Linked DNA regions of Xenopus tropicalis. The protein of the gene in region 1 purifies or fractionates together with the protein of each later gene. This does not show direct contact. Links are inferred from orthologs where the notes say so. Each region holds a gene or a part of one and is shown on either strand. Other genes may lie near its edges.

Region 1 (5,888 bases):
CTTCAGTAATCCCCACAAGTCTCATCACAAGAGACTTGGCGTCAAGACTGCATGCAAGTGCAGCGACACAAAACCTAGGGGACTGACGAGCGGAGACGCCGTCTGGTGCTGGCCCGGCCCGTCTGTCAAATTTTAAAAGTCAATGTGGCCCCTGAGCCTAAAAGTTTGCCCACCCCTGCTGTAGAATAAATCACCATTTTTTGCATGTCATGTTGCAATTTGGTCTAAAAATGCATGGTAGCCAATTCTGAATACACGTGTCTGGCTACTGACCATATAAGCCATAAGTTCTGCCATATGCAGCAGCATGTAGACATATCAGCCTTTATTCATGTGAGTTGTGTGTGTAGCATGAGGAATGTACAGTATATACCGTCTATTCCCAGAAGGCTCATTATTGCTGATAGATCAGAGAAAGGCATTTGCTTAGCATAGGAAGCCTGTTTTCTACTGCAGTGATTCTCAGGCTCCGACGTGTTGTATAGAGAGTACAGGAATAGGCAGGCACATAGCAAGAACTAGAAGGTATGTATGCCAGCTAGGTACAAAGCTCCTGCTTTAACCCACCTATTGTTGAATTGAATACATATGCTCTAAAGGTGAAAGCTGGTTCTATGTGAGATGTGACAAGCAGAATACTGCACATATCTACAGGACCATCAATGTGCAGGGACACATTGGAATTCTTATATGCAGTTTGCCAATTTCAACATTATCTGACATGTATCATCCTAGCGGAGCACGGCACCTCTCGCCCTGCGCCCAAGGGAGCGCGGCACCTCTCGCCCTGCGCCCAAGGGAGCGCGGCACCTCTCGCCCTGCGCCCAAGGGAGCGCGGCACCTCTCGCCCTGCGCCCAAGGGAGCGCGGCACCTCTCGCCCTGCGCCCAAGGGAGCGCGGCACCTCTCGCCCTGCGCCCAAGGGAGCGCGGCACCTCTCGCCCTGCGCCCAAGGGAGCGCGGCACCTCTCGCCCTGCGCCCAAGGGAGCGCGGCACCTCTCGCCCTGCGCCCAAGGGAGCGCGGCACCTCTCGCCCTGCGCCCAAGGGAGCGCGGCACCTCTCGCCCTGCGCCCAAGGGAGCACAGCATCTTCCCCTTAGGATAAAGAAACACAATAGTTCCCTAAAATAAACAATACTCTGGGCTGGGTGCATAATAAGCTACAGTATCATGCTCACTTGGTGTATATAAAGGAATTCCATGTTACCATAATGTCCAGATTAATTATGTGTATTTGCTATTGAATGCCTAATAAGTTCATTGCGTTTGAGGTTACTCATCAATGTTGACAAACTGAATATTTTAAAAATCCTATTTGCTTTCCTAATCTGCCTCTTTCCAAACTGCCAGGGTCACTGACCCTAGTAATCAATTCACAGACTGACTGGAGTTTAAATGCCTAGATTATTTTTGTTACTCCTTATGATTATATGCTGCCCCTCTACTATTTATCTTCCATTCTGACTTCTAAGCGGTTGCTCAGTTCCTAGGATAATATAGACCTTTATAACAGACAGCAGCCTGTACATTTATAGTTAAACATCCGGACCCAGGTCTTGTGTCAGATTGGATTCAGTGGTGGCACTCAGCGAATGGTTCCAGCCATTTGCAAGTGAATAACAGTGGGCGTGCAGCGATACAGAAGGTAGCACAACACACACATACTAAAAGCCCTCAGTGCGTTAGAGAGCAGTGCAACGAAACAAATCCTAGCAAGCTATCACCATACAATCAATGAATTATCCCCAAAAAACAAGCATTTATAAATAAAATCGCTCTCCCCAGCAACTGTCGCTTTGTGGAAAGGATAGACGTTAGCAGAGACGTGGGTTAGATAACCATTATATGTCATTTATTTTGTCTTGGGAACATTCCTCTTGGAAGAATCGCACTTGGCACTGTCTTACAGCAACAGCAAATTTATTCACTGCGCTTCTATAGAAACGAGCGCACAAAGGAAAACAATAAAACAAAAGAAATTCATAGATAGATAGGAATTCTCTAGATTTTGTTGGAATAATCACAAACACATTTGTAACTTTTTAACTGTTCTGATAATTTCTTGTCAATGAGCTTGTTCCCAGTGGAATGGGTCACCTGATCAAGTGCTTCATTAAAAGGCAAAAAGAAAAAAAGTCCAGCAATTCCCATGTTACATGGTGCTGTTTGCAGGGCTGGATGAGGCCCACAGCAAAGAAGGGGGGATAAAACCATTTAAATCAGGGCACCTCTGGCTGCTGAAGAACTACATCCCCACAAAACCCTGGCAGCCTTTAGCAGTTGGGTAAGTTCAACAGCAGCTGGAGGGCCACTGAGTTACTATATGTAAGTGATGCCTAACAATGATTATCACACAATATGGGCAAAGGACCTCCTTCACACTAATGCTGCGCCCTAACAACAGACATGACTGTGTAGAAGTGTACCTTCTAAGAATGAAACATGGAAACAAAAAAAATTAAAACAAAAATTTAGATTTTATAACTAAAGTGACAGAAAGCAGCAGAGGGATTTGTAAATTGTTGTACAAAATAAATCACAATTACCGATAACTGCTTAAAAAAAAAATCTAGATTTTTTTTTGTGTACGAGAAGGCTAATGTGGAAAAAAAGGAAAAAAAAAAAGGGTCCATCCCAAGGATATGGTATTAAAAGCTGCTTTTAAAGGATTCTCTTATAGAAACAAAAGGCAAACCACCCGGTGAGTAGAAGATAAAGCTAGCAGCCTTAGAGCAGTACACTAGATGGAAAAGCCTACTGTGATTGGCCAAATGTCTAACGAGAACGGACAATGTGGAGCAGTTAGGCTCTGTGGTTAGAGCTTTGTGTTTGTAAAGACACGGCATATTAAATAGTCAAACCGAGGTACATTAACAAACATGGAACAAAGCTCTCCTCAGGAAACAGGGCAAAAAAAACTCCCATCTTTAGGTCAAAAGGACACAGACAGGCCTTTCCAAGAAAGTCATGGAACTGAATGAGTTCAGAGATTGGCAATAAAGGAAACAAGGAAAGCTTTAGAGAAGCGATGGGAAATGGCAGTTGTGTTTATCGTACAGTCACACCAAGTTTCTCCAGAACACGCGTGCCTTTCTCTTGGTACTCTTGGCGCGTCATCCAGAAGTTGTCTTTGTCTTTCATGATGTCAGCTAATACTGCTCCACCCAAGAACACCATGTGCTTGCGGCGGGGAGGATCTTCAATGCGGATCTTAAATTTCTGGAATAAGGAGAAGAAAAAAAGATGAAGAAAAAACATGATATGCACTGAAACACAACCTAATTTTTGAGCATATAACTCTACACAAGTCAAAGTGGCATACATTCTGATGTTACTACAGTGTAATGGATTGGCTCAATCTAACAGCACCTGATTCATTCTGGTATCACAGTTTTGGGAGCTGTTCATAAGGCCAGTTAGTATGAGATTTGTGGCAAATGCCTAAATGTGGCCCAGGATACCCCTGAAGACAGCACTCAAAACTTAGTATTCACCCCCATAGCTCACTCTATACTAAGTATGCTAAATTTATCATACATTGATGTTTGCATCTGTGACCTTACAAGGAGCTATAGAGGGCCTTGGCCAAATGTTGGACCTTAAACATGAAGGCTTAATTGCTAACTAAATTGCTACATGCTCAGTCTCAATGCAATTTCATGTAAGACCTAGGGTGACTGCTTATTTGCTGTCCTTGATAAGTATGGGACAACAGAATGAGTGTTATTACTATTTTTTTCTATTGATCTGTAAGCCTAGGAGACCCTCATCAAATGTTGGTCAACTGAGGGGGTATAAACAAAATTTATGTTGTATCACCTATTGTTAAAATCATATGTTTCTCAAAATGGATGATATAAAGCTCTGTCAGCAGAGCATGGATGGGGAACACATACACTGGATTTCAGCCTACTGCCAAGCTCCCAGAGGCACCCACACTCCATATACTGAGCCGCCACAATGTACGGAACAATTACCAACAGGCAATGCAGTTTGTGGGTTGGATTTCTATCTAGAACACACATTTGGCTTTGAAATATGTTGTATGGCAATTCAGGATGCTGTGTTGATTTGGGAACAATCAGTACCAGGTTAAGATGAAGTTATAATTTGCTAAGCAAAACAAGCAACTTTAAGCCTACGTGCCACAGGTTGTAATGTGCAGCACAACACTCAGACTGTAAAACAGAAAGAAAGCACACCGCTTTTAACAAAATAATTTATTTTTTAAAGAAAACAAGAATTGAAAGCCTTACCGATAATTTTTCAACATCTCCTTTCAGGACTCGCTCCAGATAGAGCTGTTTCAGTTCTCGCTCTAAACGGGAGGGCAATCCTGGATACATTGTGGAGCCCCCTGACAGCACAATGTGCTTATAGAACTCTGGCCTGGAAACAAACAAAGGGACAGATGTCAGCATTTACTATGTACTGCAGAGGAGTGCAGGAGCAGAATAAAAACAATAATTCCATCCATAACAAACATCTATAGAAACATGCTGGGAGGTGAAAGATTTAACAGGTATGTGTTTTTAAATTCAATTGTCTTTAACAATTTTATCTTCTTTAACGTTGTTTGCCTTTTTTTGTTTTACCCGTTTCCATATTTAGTTCAAACACAGACACAGGAAGTTGCTCGTGCTGTTATTAGCGTCCGAGGAAAGCTGGGACATGAAACAGTATTCATACTGTAACAGCTCAAATTACATACCATATAAACAAAGGACGCCGTTTCTTTCTAAATGAGGCTGAATGGCCTGTATAATCTCATAGCATTTCACAGCTCTAGGTCAGAGACCCAAAATACAAGGTGGCACACCACTGAATGGGCTGTATTTGTCTGCATATACTACTCCACAGTATTCAAGGATTGGAACATTTGTTAACTACAGCTAATATCAAAAGGTGCTCATTAACGTCTCATTGTGCTGAACAGGAAGTTGTCTCTCACCTCCGAAAAGGGAAGATATTACTAGAACTAAGATGGTCAATTCCTTTATATTCCTGTATATAAACTCTGCCAATAATGCTTTCCATGCTGCTTCAACTACTACTTCAAGTGGATATACTGCTCCCTTAAAATTCATAAATTTAAGCGCACTTCATTTCTTTAATATTTGCTTGGCCCTCCCATTCATTAGAATACATGAAAATAAAAGTGGCAGCAATTACCTTGCTATACCTAATGCATAACATAGGTGCCCTTGAGGTTGGGACTCCCTAGGGGAGCAGTCCAAAAATTTGGGAACCTCTCAGCTGAAGGATACTGAGAACTTCCAAATGTCGTTATCACTTTAAAGGGGAAATAAGGCAACATCATGTTTCCTATGAGGCAAATGACCAAAAAAACTAAATGTAGTGTATATTGCTATTTACAACCGGTAACTAGGTTCTTCACCACTAATGCCTGGCATACACTGACGGATATATTGCACAGTATTTTTTATTCTGTATAAAGGAAGTAATTGCTTAAATGAAAACCTGAAGCAATTGTTTAAAGGAACAGTAACATCAAAAAATTAAAGCGTATAAAAATAATTACAATATTATGTACTGTTGCCCTGTGCTGGTACAGCTGGTGCGTTTGCCTCAGAAAGACTACTATAGTTTATATAAGTTAGCTGCTGTCTAGCCATGGGGGCAGCCATTCAAAGGAGAAAAGGCACAGGCACTTAGCAGATAACAGATAAAGCCTCATTATATTCTACAGAGCTTATCTGTTATCTGCTATGTAACCTGTGCCTTTTCTCCTTTTTTTCAGGTTGAATGGCTGCCCCCATGGCTACACAGCAGCTTATTTATTAGTTATAGTACTGTTACTCTAGCAAATACACAACTTTACCTGTGCAGGGTAACAGTACATTTTAAATACTTTTATACACTTTCAT
Region 2 (6,453 bases), on another chromosome or scaffold:
TAGGTGTCAAAGTACAAGTTGCAGGGAGTTGCATGTAAAAAAAAAACTCTCATAGCGATTGCAGAACGTAATACTGATGGGCAGGGACACTGTAGGATTGGGTGCAGGGAGTTGTAACTATATATAATTGGAACCTAACATGGATGCAGGGAGTTGCAAGCAAATAACACACATCATTTATCATTAGGTACAGTCTAATGAATAAACACAATCTTCATTGTAAATAACGTTTTTTTTGATTTGGTAAATAATTTTTTTTTTTAAGAAAGAGAATTAAGGTGCCTTACATTCCAGCATGTCACAGAAGCAGCGAATCTTCCTTCAACTGAGCTGCTAGTCAGGAAAGCAGGGCTGGCCGGGAGCAGCACTGAGAAGGACCCCAGCGTGACTGACGTGGGCGGGGAAATGACGTCATCAAAGGCGCCGCCCACGTCTCACGCCCACTCCTCTCTCAGTGGCTGCAGCGTCTGTATAGGAAAGAAGCCAGGGCCGGCGGCCCCAGCTACAGACAGACTATTTTCCAGCCGGAAGCCCTGTGAAAGGGAGGGGCTTTAGCATTTGTGCAGGGATTACACAGCCTTCTTCAACAGTAGGTATAAAATACACTTTATTTTATTCAATTTTAGAGTGTTAGCTGCAATTTAAGATAAACTGAAAAATTATGGTATATGTCTCCTTTAACAGTAATGCATTGCCTAGACATGAAAGCACACACTAATGGTATATTAAAGCGGTCAATCAATTTCCGACTCCCAATTCTGACTCCAACTTTTAATAAGACAGGAAAAGAAGAGTTTAACTTGATCATTTCAAAAAGTATTTATTATATTTCGAAAGTTTTCTTTTTCATTGTACAGGAATGGGACCTATTATTCAGAATGCTCGGACCTGGGGTTTTCCGAATAAAAGATCTTTCTGTAATTTGGATCTCACTAAATCTGCTAAAAATAATTTAAATATTGAATAAACCCAATAAGCTTGTTTTGCCTTCGATAAGGATTAATTATATCTTAGTTGGGATCAACCACAAAGTACTGTTTTATTATTACAGAGAAAAATGAAATAATGTTTAAAAATTATATTTGCTTATAATGGAGTCTATGGGAGATGGTCTTTCCGTAATTTGGAACTTTCTGGATAACGGGTTTTTCCGGGTAAGGGATCCCATACCTGTATTACATTTTAATTTTTTCAATAGTTTTCAGTTAAATGAAACCCAGGATAATGACTGCCACAGTAAAAGAAAACTTGCAAATTCTAGTTGAAATATTTGAGTATGAATAACAGGATACTACATTTAGTAGTATAATTTTCAGCTGCTTAGTAAACTTATTGATTATTATGGTTATCGTATGTTGTTACAGTTTAAAGGCAACTATCCACTATAGCACTAAACTATCCACTATAGCTCTAAATTGCGGTTTGCAGTGTGGTGCCATTTGGTTGAGAGCGAATATTTACCAGAGATAGGTGTAAATCTCCCTACCTCCATGATATAAATCATTTATGGGAAAATCTCATATCCTTGTTAAAGGAATACTGTCATGGAAAAACATGTATTTTTCAAAATGCATCAGTTAATAGATTTTAATAGATAATTGTTATGTAAGCAGTGTAAATTTCAAAATAAACAGTACACCAAAAAAATCAGGACTAACACTATACTATCATCTGATCCATGACACCTAAAGCAGATCAGGTAAATCTGGTACACATATTTATAACATGGTCCAACCATAGAATGAAGGCAATAGTTCCCCAAGGCAAAAGCCAGTGGAAAAAAATTATGGCTTTTAACTTGGGTAATGCTAACTGTAAATTAATTAGTTAAGCCTCTGGACACACTGACAAAGCCATATGAATAGATAACTGCAAGACTGTTATAATGGGGCCCTTAATAGATATAGAATATCACCAGAAAAATGGGCAAAGAGACAATTACTACCCTTTACCAAAGAACTTCATGCTCTTTTAAAGGAGACATATCGTATAAAAATTATTAATGTACCAGTGCATTATACTCCTCTGAATATAGAAGAAGGATTGTGCTGAAAAAAGTTGTGTTTCGGACTGATTTATTGAGAAATTCCACCATAACCCCAGTAGTCCCGCCCATCTGTTTCACTTCCTGCTTGCTGAATTCTCTGGATGTGCAGGGGAGCCAGCAGCACACTGCACTGTAGGGAACTGAAGCCCGTCTTTGCTTGTGTGAGTGCAGGGCTGTGAATGGCTATCCCCCTCCTGCTGTGCTTCTGGCAGGGAGCATTAGGACATGCTCACTTCTTCATTTGAAATACAGATGGAGAACTGATAGGATCTATAGGAAGCTCCAATATAGGGACCACTTTTACAGACAGGATTAAAGGAAAATACGGCGATCTTCCCTCTGCACAATCGACTATGCGAAGATTGACATCTCCTCCTAGCCTTCCTTCTGTACAGGCAAACTTCATACAGACTTCTGGTTTTGGACTCGGCAAGGAGGAGATGTTGATTGTCGCATAGTGGATTGTGCAGAGGGAAGATTGGCGTAGCACCGCATTTGAAATGACTGGATGCAAAGTTTTAGAAGGTATATACTAATAAAGCATTCAAAATAATAAATGGTGTGCAGGATAGGGCAATTATTGGAGCAGGGTGGAATAGATTTTTTACTTGTTACTTTTTCTTTAATGTTTAGCCCAAAGTGAAACCAGCACCATATATTATTCGTAACTGTCTACAAAATTAGGGCTTTTTCCATTTATCCAATATGTCTATTTTAAGCACAACAGATATTTACTGATGTCTACCACAGGTAACCAAATCAGCCAGCACTGCTCATATTTAACACAAATACACTACAGTATGTGCACAATAAGGTTTACACTTTCTTAACTAACATTGATATGAATGTTTCTTAACTAACATTCATATCATTAAAGAGGCATGAAAATTCAGAGAATTCAATAAACACAACACTATTATACTGGCCATAAGACCCCAAGTTGAGTCCTCAACATCATCAAAAGCATTATACTTTCCATCCAAGATAAATAAAGAATAAGAACAGCTGTCTTCATTACAGAACAAGGGGGCAAGGTGTCCAGGTCCGGAGATGCAAAGTATGGCCTGGCAATTCAGGTACACGGAGGGCCAGCCAATAATGACTGTCTTAAGTATTACAGCAGCCCCACAGTACAGGCCTGAAGGCGGCTAAAAAATAATAAAATATGCTTATACCAAACAAATGAAATCGTACTAGCACAATCCACTTCGCCCATTTTTATCCTGTTAATTGTTAATAATATCTTAACATGGGTAGGCCAGGAGACACATAAACATGCCCGTCATGGTGGGGATAGTCGTCCCAGACCCGGTGGGTTTGGGTCTTTAAGTGGGCCCGACAACGCTTCACTTACTTAGTTTAGATTATCTGGTCCCCTGCTGTCAGTAACCTACCGACTTTGGAAGGGAGGGTTATTGATAGAATGCCTGCAAGCTCTTTCCCTTACAATCCCAAAGCCACAAGTCTCATCACGCGAGACTGGCGTCATGACTTCACATATGCGCAGTGACGCAACACATAGGGGCCCTGTGAGAGTGACGAGCAGGCGTGACAAAATCTTAAGATGATCTCAAGTTATCGTAGTTTTCATAATTTTTTTCCCTGTACAGACCTCTAACCTTTATAATAGAAAAGAAGTCTCTCGTGTTGGTTTGTCACCATGCTCGATAAGCTCCCAATATCATAATTTTTTATTTATATTTTCAGCGCAGAGTTCCAACTCTTTGCCAGGGAACTAAAAAATACCTTTTCTTGATTGCCAACGATCGCTTCTCCCAATTTAATAAAAAAGGAAACAGGTTTTGTGGGAACTGGGATGTTTGTGTTTATGACAAGTTTATTTAACAGTTACCAGTATTAATCTCACAAATACAGATCTGTGTTATGACAGGTAACAGTTTATCTGGAAGAGTCAGTAATACACAGATGAACACTATTAAAAAGAAATGAAGGCCAAATTAGGTAACAGTTATGTTACTGATTCATAACATAATATGTATAGCGTTTGTGTATACATTTTCTAATCTATGCTAGTATTTTAATTAGCTTAACAATCGCCATAATTATTTGTAAGGGTGAAGAGACAGAGCTACTTGTCGCAACTACAAAAACAGACAATGCTGATCATTTACTGATAATCTTCTCTATGTGTGAACACGCCCAGCCTTCATTTGAAACACAGACAGGGACCTGATAGGGTCTATAAGGAGCTCCAATAAAGGGGCTATTTTTACAGACTGTATTCAATTTTAGTCGAATGGGAAACCAGCACCATATATTATTCATAATTACCTACAAAATTAGGGTTTTTTTTAATTTATCCAATATGTCTCCTTTAAAGGTATTCACAGTATTTTAGCTATGTCCACCCAAACTGCAGGTGCTTTTCATGACATGATAATGTGTATAGGAGCAAGTATTCTCCCTTTATACTCTCCTAATTGTCCAGACATTTAAGGCCAGATTTATCAAAATTTGAGTTTGTGGAAATAAAAACAGCAGTTAAAATATAAAAAAAATTACTGTGACAAAACTTGTGCTACTTTTCTTATCAATTGCTAGCTTATTTAATAAAAAAGCATTTCTCATTGACTTCTATTGATTCTAGCTAGCTTTTACTTGCTGAGTTTTTTCTGGCAAATTTACTTTTTGATTTTTTTCTTTAATAAATACCGACTATTCATGGTTCTTAACAATATTCTGGAGTATAGTTGCATTTGCATTTTTTCACTGTGTTTTTTCTCGAATTGTTAAGCATAAACTCGAATATTGATAAATCAGCCCTTTAAAGAAGTCTCGTATTAGTATCTATTAAACAAGGGTTGCCCACATCAAACAGTATGTAAGACACAGCTGTGATACTTGCCTGCAGGATTAACAAATTGTGGGATTATAGACTCTAATTTCTTGAACAAAATCAGTTGTGCTACTGTGTCCTCACTGTCACAATCGGTATCCCAAAACTCAGAACAGGCGCCAAGGGTCCGGTCACGGCTCACGCTTCTGCTTATAACAGCTGCCTTTCACGTCGGGAGGAGCCCTTCGCTACTTGGATGCTGCCAGGACTTATTGTGAGAGACCCAAGGAGAAAGTTCTGAGCAGGCAAGGGAACCAATCGTGTGGCAGGAAGATGGGGGGTAGTCTGGGACAGGCCAGGGTCATCAACGGTCAGGCAGCGCAGTACGGAATCAGAATCCAAGAGAATAGTCAAACGGGCAAAGGTCGGTTCAGGCAGCAAACAAGAATGGTCAGGAACAGGTAAGAGTCAATACACGGCAAAACACTAATAACACACCCAGGAACTCACAAGAAGAAACCTACGTTCGACAATGAACAGAGGCAGAGAACGCTTTAAATATTTACACGGCAAAATGACATAATCGTCGCAACGAAGAGAACAGTGCGCGCACGCATGCTCATAAACGGATGTGCACGCACATCAAAAGGGAGACGAACGACGGATGCACACACGTCTAGAAGATGATGATAGCGACTTTCCCAGTAGACCACCGTAGACCATCGTTACACTCACAGCTCCAGTCATGGCGGTGTGGTTATAACTCAGGTATTGTTATGACAAGCACCTGAAGTTTGGGGGACATAGCTGAAATACTGTGATTACCTTTATTGATTTATTACTGACATAATTTAAATAAACTAGGGGGCATATGGTGGAAAGTGTGGGTACAATAGGGTGTTTTATATGATTTTAATGTGTCTTGTCTATTTAATGGCTATGGTTTAGTTCAAATAAAGTATGCCTTTATTATACTTACCTGTAGTGTGACTCTAATTTAGCATTTAACGTTTTTGGTGGTCTCTTGTGTCCTCGTGAGTCCACCAGCCGTGATATATCATCACTTAGCCAAGTAGTACATAGGAGTAAACCTCTCGGATGATAGTATTTATGGGTAATAGCCAATATTTGGTGATAACTTGTCACACGAAAAACTCCACTTTTTCGTATTGTTCCACAAAAGCCAGCATAAAAAAAACAGAAAACCTCTAAAACCATGAAGCAAAAAAAAGAACTTTTGTAAGAAAGAAATTGTTAAAGGGACATCTGCCATTGACTTCTGCATGATCTAAATAGGTTCTAGCTGATGTATTTTAGAGTCACATTATAAATCATGACAAATTTGTGTTTTTTTCTGCAACAAAATTTTTCGAGTTTTCGAGACAAAAAGCATGACTAGAAAAAATTGTGCCTTAGTAAATGCCCCCTTTAAAGTAGTGAGTGCCCTATTACTAGCAACTTTGCAACTGTTTTTTATTATTTATTTGTTACAATTTTTGAATTATTTGCCCTTTCTATTCTGCCATTTTCCAGTTTTGAAATGGAGGTCACTGACCCCTGCAGCCAAAAACTATTCCTCTGTAAGGCTACAATTGTTACTTTTTATTTC
Region 3 (6,498 bases), on another chromosome or scaffold:
CATCTTACAAGGTAGCTTCTTGCGGTTTTTGTATTTCTGAATCCAAAATTCCAATTGATTTTTTTTTTTTTTAACAGTTTTAACAGGCCATACCCAACTTAAAATAGAGCTGTACAGATTTTCCTGCTCAGTAGCCACATATTAGCAGTCTGCATGTAGTCTACACAGTTTATTGCAGCTTTCCCTTTGCTGCTTGGCATAGCTAAAGATTCCCCATAACAAAACTACATGAATATTTTACAGTTGTAAATTTTTGAGAATATACTTTAATTGATTTTTGTTATATGAAGACTTAGACATAGGGTATTTTTGTCTATGTTTAGGTCTTCGCATAACAAATACCCACATGACCATTACTGATGAAAGTAATAATAAAAGCACCTTGTTGTTTTAAGCCTCAAGCTGGCCATACACTGGCTGGCCTCCAAGGTATTTGAACTATTGGTTCACAGACCAAACAGACTGTTAGCTATCCACAGTTCAAACAGCATTGTTCTGTTTTTCAAACCAATTGCCCAACCAAGCAAATTTAATAGGGCGTGAGGAGGAGTTGTGGTTCCTCTCTGAACCATCCATCTGCTGAAATGGTGCTTTGGCAGAAAAAAATTATAGGTGATGGTTTGCTGACCCAAGCCTGATGCATGGGGCCTGTCCTATGCACTGAGATGGTAACTCCTTCCAAATTATGCTGCACCACCTCTTAAATACTCTGTAAGCAGAGGCAATGCCCTAAAAACTATACACACGTATGGTGGATCATGCCTAACCTGGTAACCAATTATCAGAAGAGTCATTACCTGACATGACCCTGAGGAAGCTGTGTAGGAGGTGAAACACAAAAGAGGCTGGGGTAGATGTACTGTGAAGAGGTCTAGCCTCCAAAGCTCCCAAAGTTTAGTAGGCGGGTTACTGTCTGGGGATTCTACCAGGGGGCTGATGGAGGTATAAAACCAACAGACAGTGAAGTAAACTGTACTGATCCTCTTGTGGGGGTGCTGATCCCCTGAGGGACATTACACCATTCTTTTAATTTCTGTGTGTTGGGCTAAACAATATCTGCCAGAAAAAGCGAACTGTAAAAACTACAGATTTAAAAAAAAAAAAAAAAAATAAATCTTTATTTTGCATGTTATGCCTCTCTTCAGCCTGCCATTTACTGCCAGATTAGGGTTATTTCTAGCAACTAGATAACAAAAAACATCAAACTGAGGACTCAATTAGTTCAAATACAATACTAATGAGGCGCAGAACTAAAGCTGTAATTAAAATAAATTTTAAAAAAACGTAGAAAGGAAGACCAAATCTATCAGTATTTGCATAAAGCTGCATTTACAAATTTTAAGAGTGCCCCTCATCAACCGACAATGTGGTATCAAGGTATATTACTTTTATGTGAAAGCTTCTAATCACAGAGCAGTCACATGATGCTAAAAGGAAAGTGCAGGAAAGGGAACTAGTATAAAGAGAAATGACGGATGGGTGAAAGAGCAAGAGAAGGAGGTGCTTAACAGATGGAAAGAGTAATGAAGACAGACAGAAGCAATCCATAGTATCTTCTGTTTCCCTAAGAATAACATTGCACCTTTAATGAGTAAAACCCATCTATAAAAGAACTGTGGGATTGCAGCCAACAAATGTATTTGTGCTCCAAAGCACAAACCCCCACATGCCTCCCACTTGTATGTGTATGGATAAAGGCAGTTTGCTGTAGACCACTGTGTTCTGAATAAAATGTTTTACAAATTCCATATTAATGAATTTCCCTAATTCCCCACCTCCTTTCACTCCCTACAAAAGGCAGAGGAGACAGAAGGAAGTCTCCTCCAGGGCGAAATAATTTCTTTAAGTCACATAGCTTAAGAAGAATATATGAAGGGGGAGAGTGGAAGAGAAACAACAGAGGGAATTCATACAGCAGCTGCCCTCCTGTATCTGTATGTGCATCCTTCACCCAGACAGCACTGATATGGCCATTCATTTCTAACATAACATGGCATCTCCCCCTCCCAGCTAATCAATGTAAAGGACAAACCAGAAAAGGAAAACTGTACTATGAAACCAGTGCAAAGGGTTACCATCTCTTTTCTAACAGCACCAGAGGTAATATACTGGCCCCATGCCAGCTATATTTGAAGTTAACATGGGCTTTGATAGTGGAAGAAATGACACAGCGAGTATCCCTCACAGAGAGCAATGCAGTACAGTATGCAATTAAGAGGTGATAAGCAACAAAGCCATAAAACACACCCAAGTTAGACAGTGTTTATACAGACTTTTTAGAGTTATTTGTGGTTATTTATCAAACTTCTAACACACCCTACATGTAGAGCACCAGTACTGCCACACACCCTGCCAATTGCCATATATATGAAAGAGTAACAGCAGGTATACACTGGATAAGTAGTACTAATACAAGCATTAAAAGCCCATTCCAAAATGATCAATATGAAGCACCAAAAAAGCAAATGCCAAACCATCAGCAACATTAAACTAGCTTGGCCTTTTTTGCACAGGGCACTTTAAAAATGTGTGTCAGGTGGATGCAACCAACTAGTGATGTGGTTGCCCCTCGAGTTAGGGTTGAAATTTGGATAACCATTGCAGGTTCAGGTTGGGTGCTTGTCACACTGGGGAAGTACACTCTTCCTCTGCTCCCAAAGTTTCTCTGTCTTGAAACCTAAGGCGCACACAGGAGTTGTGTATAGCATGGAAAGACACTGGTACAGTTTGGGCATGGGTCCTACAATGGCAACATTTTGCGGGTTAGGATAAGGTGCGCTTTAAGGTTTCACAGGTTAGGGACGGTGCGGGTGGACATCGCTGAAACCTTCCCCACTGGCCATCCAAAATGAAAAGAATTTAGTGGGAATGTATAAACTGTCTAAAAAACATTCAGTATTGATAAACAAAAACGGAATGTTTAATATTCTCTACATCAAGCCATAATTATCCAAATAGTGCACAGATTTTTGTAAAAGAAATCTACTGTACTGCTTGCTCTGTGGCTACAAATGAAATATGCATGGACTCCAATAAAACACTACCTCTAGTGGGTAAAAAGCCATAAAAACCATACAACTAAATGTTAAAACATCAGTGAAAGACATGGGGTCTGCACTCTCCATTCAAGAAATAGCTTTCACACAGCATATTACTTACCCTTAACCAGCAATCATGGCAGAGCAGAGTCGGCCACACCATAAGGCACAGCCTTTCAGTGAGGAAACTGGATGGCAAACAAGGGTTAAAAGCAAGGAATGACAAATGCTCACAGCCATGATCAGTCAATAACCGGCTAATGGGCAATAAGGGTCATTTACGAGAAAGCCCTGTAATGTCATTCTCAACCCTTAGCTTCCTGCAACGTAGGCACTCTTACCAGCAAGGGATTTCTATAGTTCCATTATTGATCCCCCACCCCAAATTTACCCACTGGCACCTACTCACTCTTACCCTGCCCAATTAAGCGAACAGATGGGTTAATATTATACAGCCAGATTCACACAGATACCTTATAAGTGGCACTCTATTATTCCTACAGCGAGCCCTCCTGCTCCATTGCCATTCTTTATTCCCATCAGCCCAGCCCGGCCGCACTGCAGGCCCGTCACCGAATCACTTCTCCACAATGAATTCCAATTAACACATATCATGGGTCCTGCTGCACTTACACCAGACCATGCCACTGCTACGGAAACGGCAAAGGCTGGGCTTACTCACCAAGAATGGGCAAAAGGGCAACCTACAGCAATGTAATCGTGACTGCACTGCCACACGTGGATTCTGGGAGTTGTAGTGCAAAAACAGCTGGAGAGTCGCAGCTGCAGATCCAGGGTTAATTATACTGCGCTGGCACATGAAATCAAGTGATCACTCCATACCTGACTCAATGATCTCTTCTTGGTGCCCTCCTTTGGAGTGGCTCGTATATGCCGGGAGTGGGTCCTTGTCGTCTTTCTGACTGGGTTGAGGGAAGAGGCACTCACACTTCACCCTTCCCGCACTCAAAATGTACCACTCACACCAGCGCTACCTCGCAGCCGGAAGCGCAACTAGGGCCCCACCTCCCTCCCGCCGCTTCTGACTGACGTAGCTAGAAGCCAATGGGCGAGCGAACGGGCTGCACCCAGAGCCGAAACTATTTTACTATCACTCCGCTTGGTGAGTAGCCCAATAGGGAGGGAACGCAAAGTAGTTCCATACATGCTGAGGCGTATTAATATGTATTGTAGACCTAAATACTGCGGTGATTTTGTTTCGCGCATGTATCGTTAGCGAAATATTAAGAATGTATTTGATATGATTAAAATTAACAATAGCATTTGACGTTATTGAAGTTCTCAAGTGCTCCTATATGTGTACACAAAGTATGTACTTAGGTTCATTCCAATATGTGGTGCAATAATTGTTGGGAACCGCCCTTATACCCCAAGTGAGGTAATAAATACTGCAGGCATACTTCTATAGAAACAATATTATGAAAGGCACTAATTTTCACCCAAATACTCAACCTAGTTGGCCTTCACTCAGGCCTTTAAAGACTATGTGGGAAAATTAGTGCTCCTACTACCACCCTTATGGCCCTCAGGCTGGGCTTAGTAATTGCCACTGGCTCCATTTTACATACTGTGCCAGAATGAACCCTGCTTAAAATAATACATGATAAAAGATATTTTTCATTAATTTGGAGCCTTTGCTTGATCTTTTTTACATTGGTAAAAACAACATTCTATTGACTTTAGCAACAGTATCAGGTTGGCAAGCTACCATTATGAAGATAGAGCAGACACTTTTGCATCTTATTACCTACATTACCTTATCCATGGTAATTTCCCACATACATTATTTCTTTATGGCATACATTCTCTGAAGAATCTCCTTCACAAGAATTGTATGGGGAAAATACACTAGTGAATACACCAGTCTTTAATCTGGACAGGCTCCATGCATAGTTACATTCTTGGTATAAAATAGTTAACTTGCAGTTTTATTTTATATATTATTAGCCACACAATACTTAGTTAGCCTACAGATGACATAAACGCATAAACACAATGTATTATCTCGAATTGCATATTAGGACTACCCAACGCCACCAAAAAGTATTCAACCTATGGGCCCAAGCAAGTCCACCCCCTTTTAAGAGTGACATTTAATACTGACATAAGGGGTCAGCTCCAAAGGGGTTGTCCACTTTTGAGTTAACTTTTAGCATAATGTAGAGAGTAATATTTTGAGACAATTTGCAATTGGTCTTCATTTTTTTATTATTTGTAGTTTTTCAGTTATTTCCGTTTTTGTTCAGCAGCTCTCCAGCTTGGAGTTTCAGCAGCTATTTGGTTGCTAGAATCCAATTACCTTAGCAACCAGGGTGTGGTTTTAATAAAATACTGATATATGAATAGCAGAAGACCTGAATAGAAAAATAAGTAATGTAAAGTAAATGTAGATTCACAGAGCAATAGTTTTCTGGCTCAGGGGTCAGTGACCCCCATATGAAAGCTGCAAAGAGTTAGAAGAAGGCAAATAATTCAAAAACTATTAAAAACAAATTATTAGGACTAATTAAACAGTTGCTTAGAATTGGACTTTCTGTAACATACTGAAAGTTAAGTCAAAGGTGAATCACCCTTTAATTTCTGCAGAGTGTTATATGTAGCTTGGAACTGAAGGCATTTCACTATTATTAAACCAATTTCATACCTAAAAGAGGCGTTGTTGTAGGGGACTTACATTATTAGACTGTAAGCTCTAAGGGACGGGGACCTCCTTATTACTGTGTCTCATGGCATGTAATCTGTGTATTTTTACGTATTCGTTGTTTTTATTATATTAATACAATACTATATTTGTGTGTATTGTAGGATTATACAGTGTTGTGTATGTTTGTAGCCCTTTATAAAGTAAAGGTTCCCATACACCTTCAGATCCGCTCACTTGGCAATGTCGCCAAGCGAGCGGATCTTCTCCTGATATCCCCCACCTTCGGGTGGGCAATATCGTGAGAATCCAGGCTAATTCGATCATTTGGCCCTGTTTGTTCCATTTGACATAAGTTTAAGCACTCAGTTATTCAGTATTCTTGGAAATTCTAACAAGCTGCCGTGTTCAGGGAATTAGAAAAAGGACCAAGAGGATGTTATAAAGCAGGCTGGACAGCTTAAGCTCAGGAAGAGCATGCATAAAAACAGCCAAAACATAGGCCAGGGCAGATAGATGGAAAAGACAGTATCAATAGCAAATTTCAAGAGAGAGAGAGAGCTAATACATCAGAGTAGACTAACCAGGGACACTATAAATGACCTATTAACACGGAAGGGGTCAGCAAACTTGCAATGTGAGGTTACACAATTTCCTGCATCAATATGCAAGCCTTTGTGTATTGCTAAGAAAGTACAACAAGGAAGGACGTCCACTGTAGTGTACTTCCCTTATGCTTGTGTGGTGGCAGTCCCTCTTTAACCACTACATTTAAAGGAACAAAAATATATTTATGCC
Region 4 (5,888 bases), on another chromosome or scaffold:
GGCCTTTGGATACCAGGACCAACACATGCTACCCACTCTGACCCAATAAAAGAAAACAGATATTGGCATTCGCTTACCTGATCCACTCTGTCTGTCTGAACCCCAAATTTTCCTCCAAAGCCCTTTGTGGCATCCAGCTGCGAGCAGTGTTTGGAGAGCTTGGTCTGATATTCATGGCCGACAGCCATCTAGGCAGAGAGGGGAAATGCTTAGTTTTTATAGAACCCTATATGAAGAAATACAATGAAAGCAAAAAAAAAAAAAAAGTACATTGCCTAATTATAAATAGGGGGTACATGCACTCGCCCAGGGGGGTGCATAGAAAGATGGTGTTTAGAAGAAAGTATACCGGGTCAGTGCATCTTTAAAAGAAGGACATTGGCTGGGTATCAGGCAAATTGGCATCGTCCAGTAATTTCACCTTTACTTTTCCTTCCACTGTGCAAGCCAATATGAACTATACAAACTGTGCCATTCTTTGAAGGGATGATGTGTAAGTGTAACGCCCGTTTAAACGCATAATGAGAAAGACCTGTCAGTAACTTGGTGCTATAAAATACAAAGCCGATAGGACTTGGCAGTGCATCTGACAGTCACATAAGGAGGCAGTCAGCGGGAATCTGTTTCATTTGCCAGAGCAGACTTGGAAAGGGAGTTGATTTCACTCAGCGCTTCCTGTTTCCTACACACACACACACACACAAAGCGAGATGAATGGTGCCGACTGATAAACTGGCACCGCATGAGGCTCATTATGCCACAGATCGGCTGGCAGCTCCTCCGCTGGCCTTCTCATTTACTGACCATTTCTTGGCTGGGTACCAATAGCATGTGCTGGTCTCTTCAACCTCCTGCTGTAACAGCAACAAAACCCGGCACAGATAACACAGCCGCTACTGTACTCGAGAGCTAACCAAGAGCAACGAGGGCCTCAAGTACCAACTACTTTGCTCTGACCTAATTGGATTAAGTAGCCCTATGCATGCGTGTGTATAAATACTAGGCAGCCCTGGAGTCTTGCTCAGGTTATTAATATAGGCTAGGACTCAGTTGCAAGGGCAGCCTCCGCTTGGCACATTTTGTTGAATACAGAAGTGTTAGTGCTACGTAGGTCTCTACAAGGCCCTATTGCATCTGAATAAAACAGGTTGTTCCAGGGAATGCCCATGTACTACCTCCTGCCCAGCTGTATGGATACATTACTGTATACAGGGGAGAAAAGAACAAGCCTGTGTCTGGGGTGCTAAGCAAACAGCAGGGTGCAAACTGCAAAAAACATAGCAATTTGCACCCATTTGTTGCACTTTGCACCCAGCCCTGCACTTAGCAAATAAGGACCAGGTTTCCTTATACAGGAGAGGCGTTGCATGGACTGGGAAATAAGGTTACTCCCAGGGCCGTAGCTTTAGGCTGATTAATAAATGACAGGCATTCCAAGTGCCTGGACTAAGAGCTACTTATACAGGTCTCCAAAGGACCGCCAGCAGGCAGCCATGTTAAACGCAAATAAATAGGAGTACTGAATTAAGTGGGTAAAACTCACTGAGGGGGGACCACACATTTTATAAATACACGTCAATAATAATGACAATAAAGTCAGAATTCTTTTACAAGAAGCTGTGTACAAGCACAAAGGCATTAAGACAGCAAGTAGAGATACCCCTAATTTAACCATAACATTGCAGTCACCCAGCTCTTCAATCACGCACCTTATCCATGCGATCCTTTTCCACACCAAACTTCCCACCGTAGCCATGAGAGGCTTTGGGCCCAATCTCTAACTCCTTTTCCTTAATTTCCTGATGTTCATGGGACACCTTCTCCCGCAGTTTATGGATACTGAAAAGAACAGGGCACACACAGGTCAGTGTCAAAATTATGGCACCGTGTAAAGACACTTAAAAAGTAGCCAGTCTGAGAATGTTTACTTCAGTACTGATGATATGGGAGAGAGTCTGAGCCACTTGGGTAGACATTTTTTCCTCTGAAATCTATATGGCCAATTAACTTATGCTGCAGTAAAAAAAAATGGAAAACTGGAAAGACCAATGGCCAACAGTGGGCTTAAGTTGGCCATACACAGGCCGATAAAAGCTGCCAACATTCCTCGTCCTTACGGCCTGCATTCTGTCAATGTAATCTGATCGTTCAGCCCTTGGGATCACCTAACTCATATCATGGAAAGATCCGCTCAAACCAGCAGATCTTTCCATGTATGGACAACTTTAGAGGGCCATAAGTCTCTCTGGGAGTAGAAAATGCTCCGGCCCAATTGGAGTTGGAATATCTTCCAACTCAGCATGTGTGCGCCCACCCTAGGGTACAGATATCGATCCCCCATAACAGTCAGCAACCCTAGGTCTGTAAAATCACAATTCCCCTACATCAACATGTACACAGATATATATATATCTGTGGTCCAATAAGTAAATTAGATTGTTACATAGTACATACTTAATGTGTTCTTGATGTCCAGACCCCTCCACGGTTTTTGCTCCCCATCTCTGTTCTTTCTCATTTATATCATTCTGTCCAAAAAAAAAAGAGAAAAATATTAGTTGCCATCTTGCAATAATGCTTTTAACAGCCACATGTACCACTTATATCCTATAGCCAACACAATCACTAGTGATGCTGCCCATAACAACCAATCAGTAAATAGATTTGAACGCTCACCTACAAGTTAAGGTGGCCATACAGGGGCAGATTTTAACTGCAGATTCGGCAGCTTATCTGCCTGTTTATGGGCAACGCTGATGGGCCTCCCAACAAACATCTGGCCTGAAATAAGGCAGATCTCGATCAGACAGGTTTGATTTTTCTGTCGGATCAGGACTGCATTGGCTCGTTGCTGTGGTCCCCAAGCAGACAGCGACTATGCCCGCCAGTTTAATTAGATCGTTTGGCCCTAGGGCAGGTTTTGTTCAATTGGCAACGACAACAAACGAGCTAATCTTAGTGTATAGCCACCTTTAGAGAACAAAAGCAAATTTGATTGGTTTGTAGATAGGCCCCCTAGGTGTGGTCCCAGGAAGGTGTAGGTTGATATTTAAAATAAATTTTAAAATAATAAATAAAACTACAATTTGCATGAGCAGTGTTCTTATGTTTTGATTTAAACTTTTATCACTGGAGGCTGACAAGTGTAAAGGTCCCCATACACGGGCCGACTATAGCTGCCGATATCGGTCCCTTGGACCGATTCAGCAGCTAATCGGCCCGTGTATGGAGAGAGCAGAGCGGCCTGGCCGACCGATATCTGGCCTGAAATTGGCCAGATCTCGATCGGCCAGGTTAGAAAATCTGGTCGGATCAGGGACCGCATCGGCTCGTTGATGCGGTCCCCGATCCGACTGCCCCATTGCCGCCCACATAATCCGATCGTTTGGCCCCAGGGCCAAAAGATCGGATTATTTTTTTTTTTACCTAAATGCTCCCCAATATCGCCCACCCGTAGGTGGGGATATCGGGGGAAGATCCGCTCGCTTGGCGACATCGCCAAGCGAGCGGATCTGCTCGTGTATGGCCACCTTAAGGGTGAACACACATGGAGCTACTTAGTAGCAGCTACTTGTCACGGCTGCCATATAACCTGCCATAGACAATGCTGGGAACTGCCTCTACTAAAACACATGTAGAGACAATTATTAATAAATGATCAGCATTGTCTATTTTAGCCGTGACAAGTAGCTGCTACTAGTAGCTCTGTGTGTCTTCACCCTTACAGTGGGTTAATCATTCATTTCTGTTTGTTTTATACACGTGTGAAGTAGGGTTTGGTGCCAAGAGCCAATCCTTCAGCACAAAAGGACAACCTCGGGCAAGTCGGAGCCCTGATGCCGTTGCACAGATGACCGCCCAACATGCTGCCCAATAAAAGAATAGATACTTCGAGGCCTTTCTACTTACCACAAAATCTGGATCTGTCTCCCAGTCGTCGGTCTCATCTGTGGAGATGGAGAGAGAGTGTCCAGCGGCAGATTTCCACATCTGGAAGAAATAAAAGCCAGCTTCAATAACTTTGCCAAAATATGAAACAAAGAGAACAGGTTTTATTTGTATCTGTATATAAATATATATTTACATTTATTTTCTTCCCATTAAGGGCAAAGCAAAGATACTGTTATCCTGCCTGGACGTTATTTCCTGCTGTTTGACAGTCACTATTGCTGAGAGGTGCTGGTCTCAATCACTGAATGCCACAGCCCTTAATCGCCAGTCACATGGGCATATGCCCTCTCACTAACAGCACTTCCTGGCTGCCCTCCAATCAGGCCGCAGTGTGCATCATTATGTCGTTAGTATAGCAAGCAATTAGAGAGCACGGCCCCTCCCAACACATGAAAAAGACCCAAAGCGATGCCCTGCTTCATCTAGGCACAATTATGCACAAAGCCTAACCTACTTTTTTATAAAGGACAACTTGAAAGCACAAGAGAGGGGGCGGCACACAGAAATGCCTTACGCAGAACATAGGGCTTATGCAACAGTTGCTACGGGGCCCCACAGCATTTTCATTTTAAAAATGCTGTGGGGCCCTGCTATTGCTCTGTGAGGCTATAGTTTTATTGTTATCGTAACTTTTTATAACTTATTTTTATATTCAAGTCATCGCCTATTTATATACCAGGGTCTCATTCAAACCACTCCCTGGTTGCTAAGGTTATTTGGACCCTAGCAACCTGGATAGCTGTTGAACAAAAACTGAAATAATTAAAAAACTGCAAATAAAAAACTCACACCAATTGCAAATTGTCTCAAAAAATGACTCTCTGCATCAGGGGTGCCCAGACTTTTTCCCCCGGCGATTGACTTTTGGCTCCTCGCCGCGTACGTTCGCATACCCAATAAACCCGCTGCAGCTGAGCTCTTGGGTTCTATATTGAGCCATTGCAATGTCCCATAGCAACCAATCAGTAATTCATTTTGAGCAGTTTAACAAATGAAAACAAAGATCTGATTGGTTGCTACGGTCAACTGCACAGGTGCAATTTACCTTAGTAAGTAAGCCGGAGAGGCCTTGGTTAAACTAATGGGTCTCATACAGTTTCATTTAATCCACTCAATGGTACCATATAAACCAACAAGAATGCAGCTTCCTATTAGAGTGAGAAATACCATTTTAGCTAATTAGACAGACAACACATCACAAGCCGGAAGCCATTAATGTTAAATACACAACATAGAAATGCCCCTGGTATGGCAGGTATTAAGGTATTTATTGATGACTAATATAAGACCAAAAGCTGAATATAAGACAAGCTGTTTCAGCCTCTAATTTCAAGGGGTGGTTCACTTTTAAGTTAACTAGTATGATATAGAATGGCCAATTCTAAGCAACTTTTCAATTGGTCTTTACTTTATATTTTTGATCGTTTATAAATTATTTGCCTTCTCCTGACTTTTTCCAACTTTCAAATGGGGGGTCAGTCAAAACACTATTGCTCTGTGGGGCTACAGTTTATTGTTATTGTTACTTTTTAATACTTATTTTTCTATTCAGGCCTTTCCTATTCATATTCCAGTGTCTCATTTAAACCACTACCTGGTTACCAAGGTAATTTGGACCATAGCAACCGGATAGCTGCTGAAACTCCAAACTGGAGAGCTGCTGAACAAAAAGTGAAATATTTCAAAAACTAAAATCAACAAAATAAGACCAATTGCAAATTGTCTCAGAATATTACTCTCTACGTAATAATAAAAGTTAACTCAAAGGTGAACAACCCCTTTAAGGCAGCACCTCCCAGTTTACAGTATAAAAGTCGGACATCAAAGAATCTATAGAACAGCGGCATATAATTCCCTGCTCTGAACCAGCGCTGGCCCACAAACCCTGTTGTTCTCTTCTCTTTCCCTTCCTCAGCCCATTACATGCCCATCAGTTG
Region 5 (6,451 bases), on another chromosome or scaffold:
AAGCAGCTTTTAAAGAATAGAGTGGTGGGGGGGGGGGGCGGGTTATAATGCATCAAGCTGCAAGATGATGATCACTGATTTAGAGAATTGTAAAAATATATATTTTTTAATTTACTATGGTGCTATGTGTTAACATGGGCAATTTAGCAACCAAACTTTTAAGTGTCTAGCTTGAAAGATAGCTGCCAGGGCAAATTTTTCTGTTACTACTATGTTATAGTTACTGGCTTTACACAGCTCACTTTTGAATAGAGCAAAGTTTATAATGCTAAAAAGTCACATACAAATATTTTTATTGAACCACAGAACTGTATATTTCTTAGGACTATGCACATTCATAGAGTTACAAATCATTTTCTAGCACTACAGATGTCTACAGGTATGGGATCTGTTATCAAGAAGTCTCCAAATTACAGAAAGGCCATCTCTTATAGAGCCCATTTTAATCAAATAATTTAAAATCTAATAATAAAAATACATAAATAATAAAATAATGCCTTATACTTAAAATGTAGTAAAATGACAGCATGATCATTTTCCTTACCTGATAGTCATCAACCACACTAAAGGTGTATTCATGTTTTGCAATCACATGGTGACAGTTTTTGCACATATCTATATTATAAAAAAAAAAGAAAAAAATCTGTATTATATTGCATACATACAGCCCGCACTCCGGTTGAGAAAAACGATAGTTAAAAAAAAAAAACAGCCCCTGGCCATGTTGTATAGTGCACATGCCAGTGGTGTCAATTATAGAGGAAGCAGACCCTGTGGTTCTGTGGGGCCCAGTGGCATAAATATAGAGGAAGCAAACCCTGCGGTTGTTGGGGCCAAGGTCCTCTTCCTCTATAGTTTTTCCTCCCTGCTCACAAGTAGTAGAGTGACTGGGGAGGGACGACCCATGCAGGCAGAAGATGCCAATAGGTGGCGGGAAGTGGCCCAGTGGGGGAATGGGTATGGATTGCTGTGCACAGGGTCCTTCTGAAATTTTTTTTGCAGGGGGGGTCTGGTGCACACTTGTTATGCTACTGCCGTCAACCACACCGGGAGCTCCCTCACAATGTGGGTGGCCTAGCATTGTTAGGGGCAATTTTTTGTTGTTGTTGAAAAAAACTACCGTTCCCCCCAACCAGTGCGGCTCTATTGGCACCTCTAGTGAGGGAAACAATTTGGGGGGGGTGAAAGGTGCCCTTTAAATGGCTTAAGCCATGGGGACCACAAATTGCAGTGAGCATGCAAACAGGACTTCAAAACACAAAAACAAAACGCATCACAAATAACTAAGCAAACAATTTTCTCGAGGTTGGCAGCCTTTAAGTGGATAAAAATGCTTACGATCATAAGTGATAATCTCTTCACCATCCTCTTCCTCTGCTGTTTTATTCACTATGAGAACAAAGTCTCTCTTATTGCACTGAACGCAACTCACATAGTTTAACAAGAATGAACCTGTCTCCAAGCATGTGCTGCCCTGAAAAAAAAATAAACTGAAATTAGACATACTGGCAATTGACAAATATAAACTGGTCACTGGAATGGCAATGCAGCTTTGCTAATTGCAATGCTAATAGGTTTGGAGGCAACCCAATATTTCACTACATAAAAAAATCTCACTGTCAGTGTGCCAAACTGCCATAAGGGCCACATTTAGGAAGGCTGAAGCAGACCCATTAATTACAAAAACTAGAAAATAACATTTGTAAAAGTACAGATTATATTAAATGTTAGATATGTGTAGTATTAATAAGGGGAATATCCAACTTATAACCCTGTTATCGAACTACAGTTCTCAGCATCCTATTTACGCACAAGGAATGATTAAAGAGCAGCAGTAACAGCGGGACCCTATACTTTTCTCCAGGGCATGCCTGACGGGGCTTAAAGGGGTGGCTCACCTTTGTTAACTTTTAGTATGTTATAGAAAGGCCAGTTCTAAGCAACTTTTCAATAAGTCTTCATTATTTTTTTTTATAGTTTTTTAACTATTTGCATTATTTTTCTTTGCAGCTTTCAAAAGGGGTCACTGACCCCTGCAGAAAAAAATCTATGCTCTGTGAAGCTACAGTTTAATTGTTATTTTAACTTTATATTAACTATCTTTCCAATCAGGTCCCCTTCTGATCAGTCTTTCATTCAAACCACACCCTAACTGCTAAGGTAGTTTGTATCCTAGCAACCAAGTAACTGCTGAGACTTAAAGTTGTAGAGCTCTTGAACAAAAACTGGAAAAACTACAAATAATAAAAAATCCCACCAGTGTTTTACATTCTTGCCAGTGGGATGGCATATCGGGGAGATTAGTCGCTCCCAGTAGTGAAGATTTATCACTAGCAACTAATCACCCTGTGTGCCACTGCCCCGTTGTATCTTTATCTTCCACACTCCAAAAAGCTACAAACAGGTTAACTGGTACATGATAGAATGTGAATGTGATAGGATGTAAGGGGCGTGTTTACTAACACTAGAACTAGATATCACCAGTAATGTTGCCAGTAGCAAGTAATTGGCTTGTTGCTGTTGTTTTCTAATTTGTAGGCGCTTGTTCAAATCTAATTGCTGATTGGTTGCTATGGGAATATTAACAATGATATTTATCTCCAATGCCAGTAAACACACCCATTAGATTTAAGGTGGCCACACACGTGGCGATTTGCGATCTTTCGTGCGACTATCGGTAGCACGAAAGATCGTACAAATAGCCACAAACTGTTCAGGGCTGAAATGGCAGATAAGGAGGTAGAAACAATAGAATTTCTACCTCCTTCTGCGATTCAGCGTTGAAGGCAGATTTTGGTCAGGCGCCCGATCAAAATCTTTGAACTGGCCCGATCGGCGAGTCGACCGATATCAGCAGCCTCCTGCGATATCGGTCGACTCGCCATACACGTACCGAATATCGTACGAAACCTTGTATTATTGGTGCGTGTATGGCCAGCTTCAGTCACGTGTGACAGATCTCTGCTACCGCAGGTGACTAATCTCTCCAAAATGTATTACTTTGGCTTTCCGGAGTGAGGTAAAGTTACCTGCAGGAGTAGACTTTGCACGACTTTAGAAAAACCGGAGCGACGCATAGGCTTTTCCACCAGTGATAGGCATTTTAGAGAGATTAGTCAGCCGTGGTAGTAGAGATCTATCATGGGCAACTTAGGGCGAAGACACATGGGGTGATTAGTCGCCGCGACTTTTAAGTAAGCCAGTTGCGGTGACTTTTTGCCCATAATGGGCGTCGCCGCAACTAATCGCTCGCATATTTTCACTGCACAGATTAGACTTTTTAAAAAGTCACTCAGCCCTTGTGTCTTCACCCTAAATCTCTCTGTGGCACATCAGCCTTACACTGTAAGCTCCACTGGGGCAAGAACTGATTTGAACAACATATCATTTGCGCTTCAGAAAGGCATACATGCTTTATAAATAATCTCCAGACCTCCGGGGCCAACAAGGAAGCCCCTACTATACAGCTGATTTTGGTTATTCTGCCAGATATTGATATCAAAGCCATATTAGTGTTAAGCTTGCACATGGACCACTACAGTATAACGAGTGCGTTAGTTTATTATAACACACACTAAAACTGCTCCATGGGTGGAACTAATTTATGACCGTCTCACTCCAGTCCAGTCTACCATGATGTAACGAGAAGTCCGATTGGTCAGGAAATGGTGTGACGTAATAAACAGCGCCACCTAGGATTGACTGTCGCGGTAGCTCCCATGACTCTCGGAAAGCCTGAGCTCTCAGTTACCTTTACTCGCTATAGCTATACAGGCTCCGTGCAGCCAGGGGCCACTCACCCGATCCGGGTACTCCTCCTGCACACAGCCTCCGCACATGTCGCTGTCTTAGCTGGGGAGTCAGAACAAATCCCCGCTCGCAGGAAAAAGTAGAAGCACCGTTCTGTGCGCTGCGCTTTCCGGAAACGAAGCATCGCGATGCCAGGAAGTGGTCTCGCTTACAGCGCTTAGGGCTAAAATGTGTCTGTAGTAATAGTTACTGTAATAAGCAACTACTACTGCAGCTGGACAAGCGATGTAGCCAGATAATAAACCTGGTAATGGCACAAGGCACTGCGGCCTAAATAAATACAGGTATCGGACCCCTTATCAGGAAACCCGTTATCCAGAAAGCTCCGAATTACGGAAAGTCTGTCTCCCATAGACTCAATTTTAATCAAATAATTCAGAATTTTAAAACTGATTTCCTTTTTCTATGTAGAAATAAAACAGTACCTTGTAATTGATCCCAACTAAGATATAAATGATCCTTATTGGATGCAAAACAAGCCTATTGGGTTTAATTAATGTTTAATTGATTTTTTAGTGGACTTAAGGTATGGAGATCCAAATTACAGAAAGACCCCTTATCCGGAATACCCTTGGTCCCGAGCATTCTGGATAATGGGTCCTATACCTGTATTGTTTTTGTAATAGTTATAGAAGAGGCATAGCTAGTGTGAGGTTACCAGATCACTTCAAAATGTTGCACATTGCTGGGCAGCACTGATTGTATTTATATCAAATTGCAATCAGTTTATCCCCTCTAGCTGGATTTTCAAGTAATTTGGTAACATTAAGCTAGTGACATGGTTACCCTGCCAAAATAACTTGTCCATAGTTACTATATGTTGCACCAGTAGCGAGACAGTCATTACTAAATATTATTTACTTGCCTTTATTCTACACTAGCTTTGAAAATCACTCATATTCCTGGCTAATGGCACTTATTAGGCACTTGCTTGTGTCTGGAAAAACACCATTACAGCCTGAATCCACCCTGTGTCTCTCAGCAGTGTTTGTAATGTCATCTGCCTGGCATTGCACACGCAGGGTACAGTACAGTATGTGCCAGAAAACGCTCAGTGCACATTGACATTGCTGTCACTGCTGACAAACACATACAGATTGAGAAAATCATGTGCCATTATTAACCTCACGTGGCTCGTGAGCAATATGTTGCTCTCCAGTCCCTTGGATGTTGCTCCCAGTGGCCTTAAAGCAAGTGCTCATTTTTGAATTCTTGGCTTGAAGGCAAGGTTTGGTTGCATGAAAACCAGATGTACTGCCAAACAGGGCCTCCTATAGGCTGCCTTATTTGGCACCCCCAGGAACATGTTTTATGCTTGAGTTGCTCTCTAAATCTTTTTACATCTGAATGTGGATAATGGGTAAAAAAGGTTGGGGACTCCTTCCCTAAACAAACCTGTTTACATTGGAGGATTATACTCCCACCTCTGCCTGTTTCTTTATGCTAATTTGTGTGTGTGTTTTCAATTCTTTTCAGTGGCATGGGTTAACTGTAATTGAAGTGCAAATTACAGGGAGTGGCTTGGGTGGGGGCAAACTAGGGTAATGTCTGAAGAATCCCTGTGAATTTATGTGTCTGAAATCTGTGTATATCCCCTTACTCCATTGGCAAACAGCAGGCAAAATTCAATACAAATTTTAACTTGTGGAAGTATGATTTTTTTTTCAGCAGCAGTAATGGACACTATTATTTTACACCACCTCAGAGCATGGGTAACCCGTTAAAGTTAATGGCACTGAGGCACACTTCTCACAGGTTTATAAGATGGTTTTACACTCCACAGTGCATGACATAATAATATATAACTATTTCAGATAAGCAATTGCACAGGTTGAGTAGAACAGGCTTATGTAATATTAGGCAACATGTGCCTCTGCCTTGCAAGCATTCAGTAGAGGTTTCCTCATATGACACTATTAATGCTTATACAGTGGCTTGCAAAAGTATTCGGCCCCCTTACAGCCACAAACATGAATCAATTTTATTGGAATTCCACGTGAAAGACCAATACAAATTGGTGTACACATGAGAAGTGGAACGAAAATCATACATGATTCCAAACATTTTTTACAAATAAATAACTGCAAAGTGGGGTGTGCGTAATTATTCAGCCCCCTTTGGTCTGAGTGCAGTCAGTTGCCCATAGACATTGCCTGATGAGTGCTAATGACTAAATAGAGTGCACCTGTGTGTAATCTAATGTCAGTACAAATACAGCTGCTCTGTGACGGCCTCAGAGGTTGTCTAAGGGCTCTGGCACACGGGGAGATTAGTCCCCCGCGACAAATCTCCCTTGTCACGGGCGACTAATCTCCCCGAACTACCATCCCACCGGCAAAAATGTAAGTCGCCGGTGGGATGGCACACGCTGTGCAGGCCAAACGATCGGATTATTTTTTTTTTAAGTTTTCTGCTACCCGATATCGCCCACCCATAGGTATATGGGCACCTTTAAGGTCCCCATACACGGGCCGATTACAGCTGCTTATCGGCCCGTGTAGGGGCAGAACCGAGGGGCCTGGCCGACTGGTATCTGGCCTGAAATTGGGCAGATATCGATCGGCCAGGTTAGAAAATCCAGTCGGATCCGAACCGACTGCCCCATTGCCTACATGCCTCCCCGATATCGCCACCTGTAGGT

The links.
Region 2: the proteins of actr2 (region 1) and arpc1a purify together in Homo sapiens (affinity purification with mass spectrometry; 9 studies listed by BioGRID and IntAct, counting the BioPlex papers as one, with this or other methods). This does not show direct contact. The link is inferred for Xenopus tropicalis from reciprocal best matches to the Homo sapiens genes ACTR2 and ARPC1A.
Region 3: the proteins of actr2 (region 1) and coro1c fractionate together in Homo sapiens (co-fractionation; 3 studies listed by BioGRID and IntAct, with this or other methods). This does not show direct contact. The link is inferred for Xenopus tropicalis from reciprocal best matches to the Homo sapiens genes ACTR2 and CORO1C.
Region 4: the proteins of actr2 (region 1) and cttn purify together in Homo sapiens (affinity purification with mass spectrometry; 3 studies listed by BioGRID and IntAct, with this or other methods). This does not show direct contact. The link is inferred for Xenopus tropicalis from reciprocal best matches to the Homo sapiens genes ACTR2 and CTTN.
Region 5: the proteins of actr2 (region 1) and churc1 purify together in Homo sapiens (affinity purification with mass spectrometry; 4 studies listed by BioGRID and IntAct, with this or other methods). This does not show direct contact. The link is inferred for Xenopus tropicalis from reciprocal best matches to the Homo sapiens genes ACTR2 and CHURC1.

What each region holds. Positions count from the first base shown.
Region 1 is NC_030681.2:31,958,559-31,964,446, forward strand, and holds the end of actr2 (actin-related protein 2), read right to left. Parts: intron 4,390-5,888; coding exon 4,257-4,389; intron 3,220-4,256; coding exon 3,049-3,219; 3' UTR 1,831-3,048; downstream 1-1,830. UniProt on the Homo sapiens protein: ATP-binding component of the Arp2/3 complex, a multiprotein complex that mediates actin polymerization upon stimulation by nucleation-promoting factor (NPF).
Region 2 is NC_030685.2:41,696,848-41,703,300, reverse strand, and holds the start of arpc1a (actin-related protein 2/3 complex subunit 1A), read right to left. Parts: upstream 3,504-6,453; 5' UTR 3,402-3,503; intron 534-3,401; exon of another isoform or gene 288-533; intron 1-287. UniProt on the Homo sapiens protein: Probably functions as a component of the Arp2/3 complex which is involved in regulation of actin polymerization and together with an activating nucleation-promoting factor (NPF) mediates the formation of branched actin networks.
Region 3 is NC_030677.2:146,436,097-146,442,594, forward strand, and holds the start of coro1c (coronin-1C), read right to left. Parts: upstream 4,012-6,498; 5' UTR 3,882-4,011; intron 3,744-3,881; exon of another isoform or gene 3,512-3,743; intron 1-3,511. UniProt on the Homo sapiens protein: Plays a role in directed cell migration by regulating the activation and subcellular location of RAC1. Increases the presence of activated RAC1 at the leading edge of migrating cells.
Region 4 is NC_030680.2:14,569,927-14,575,814, reverse strand, and holds part of cttn (src substrate cortactin), read right to left. Parts: intron 3,991-5,888; coding exon 3,910-3,990; intron 2,529-3,909; coding exon 2,455-2,528; intron 1,840-2,454; coding exon 1,710-1,839; intron 189-1,709; coding exon 78-188; intron 1-77.
Region 5 is NC_030684.2:107,706,557-107,713,007, reverse strand, and holds the start of churc1 (protein Churchill), read right to left. Parts: upstream 3,921-6,451; 5' UTR 3,840-3,920; coding exon 3,801-3,839; intron 1,475-3,800; coding exon 1,339-1,474; intron 616-1,338; coding exon 545-615; intron 1-544. UniProt on the Homo sapiens protein: Transcriptional activator that mediates FGF signaling during neural development. Plays a role in the regulation of cell movement.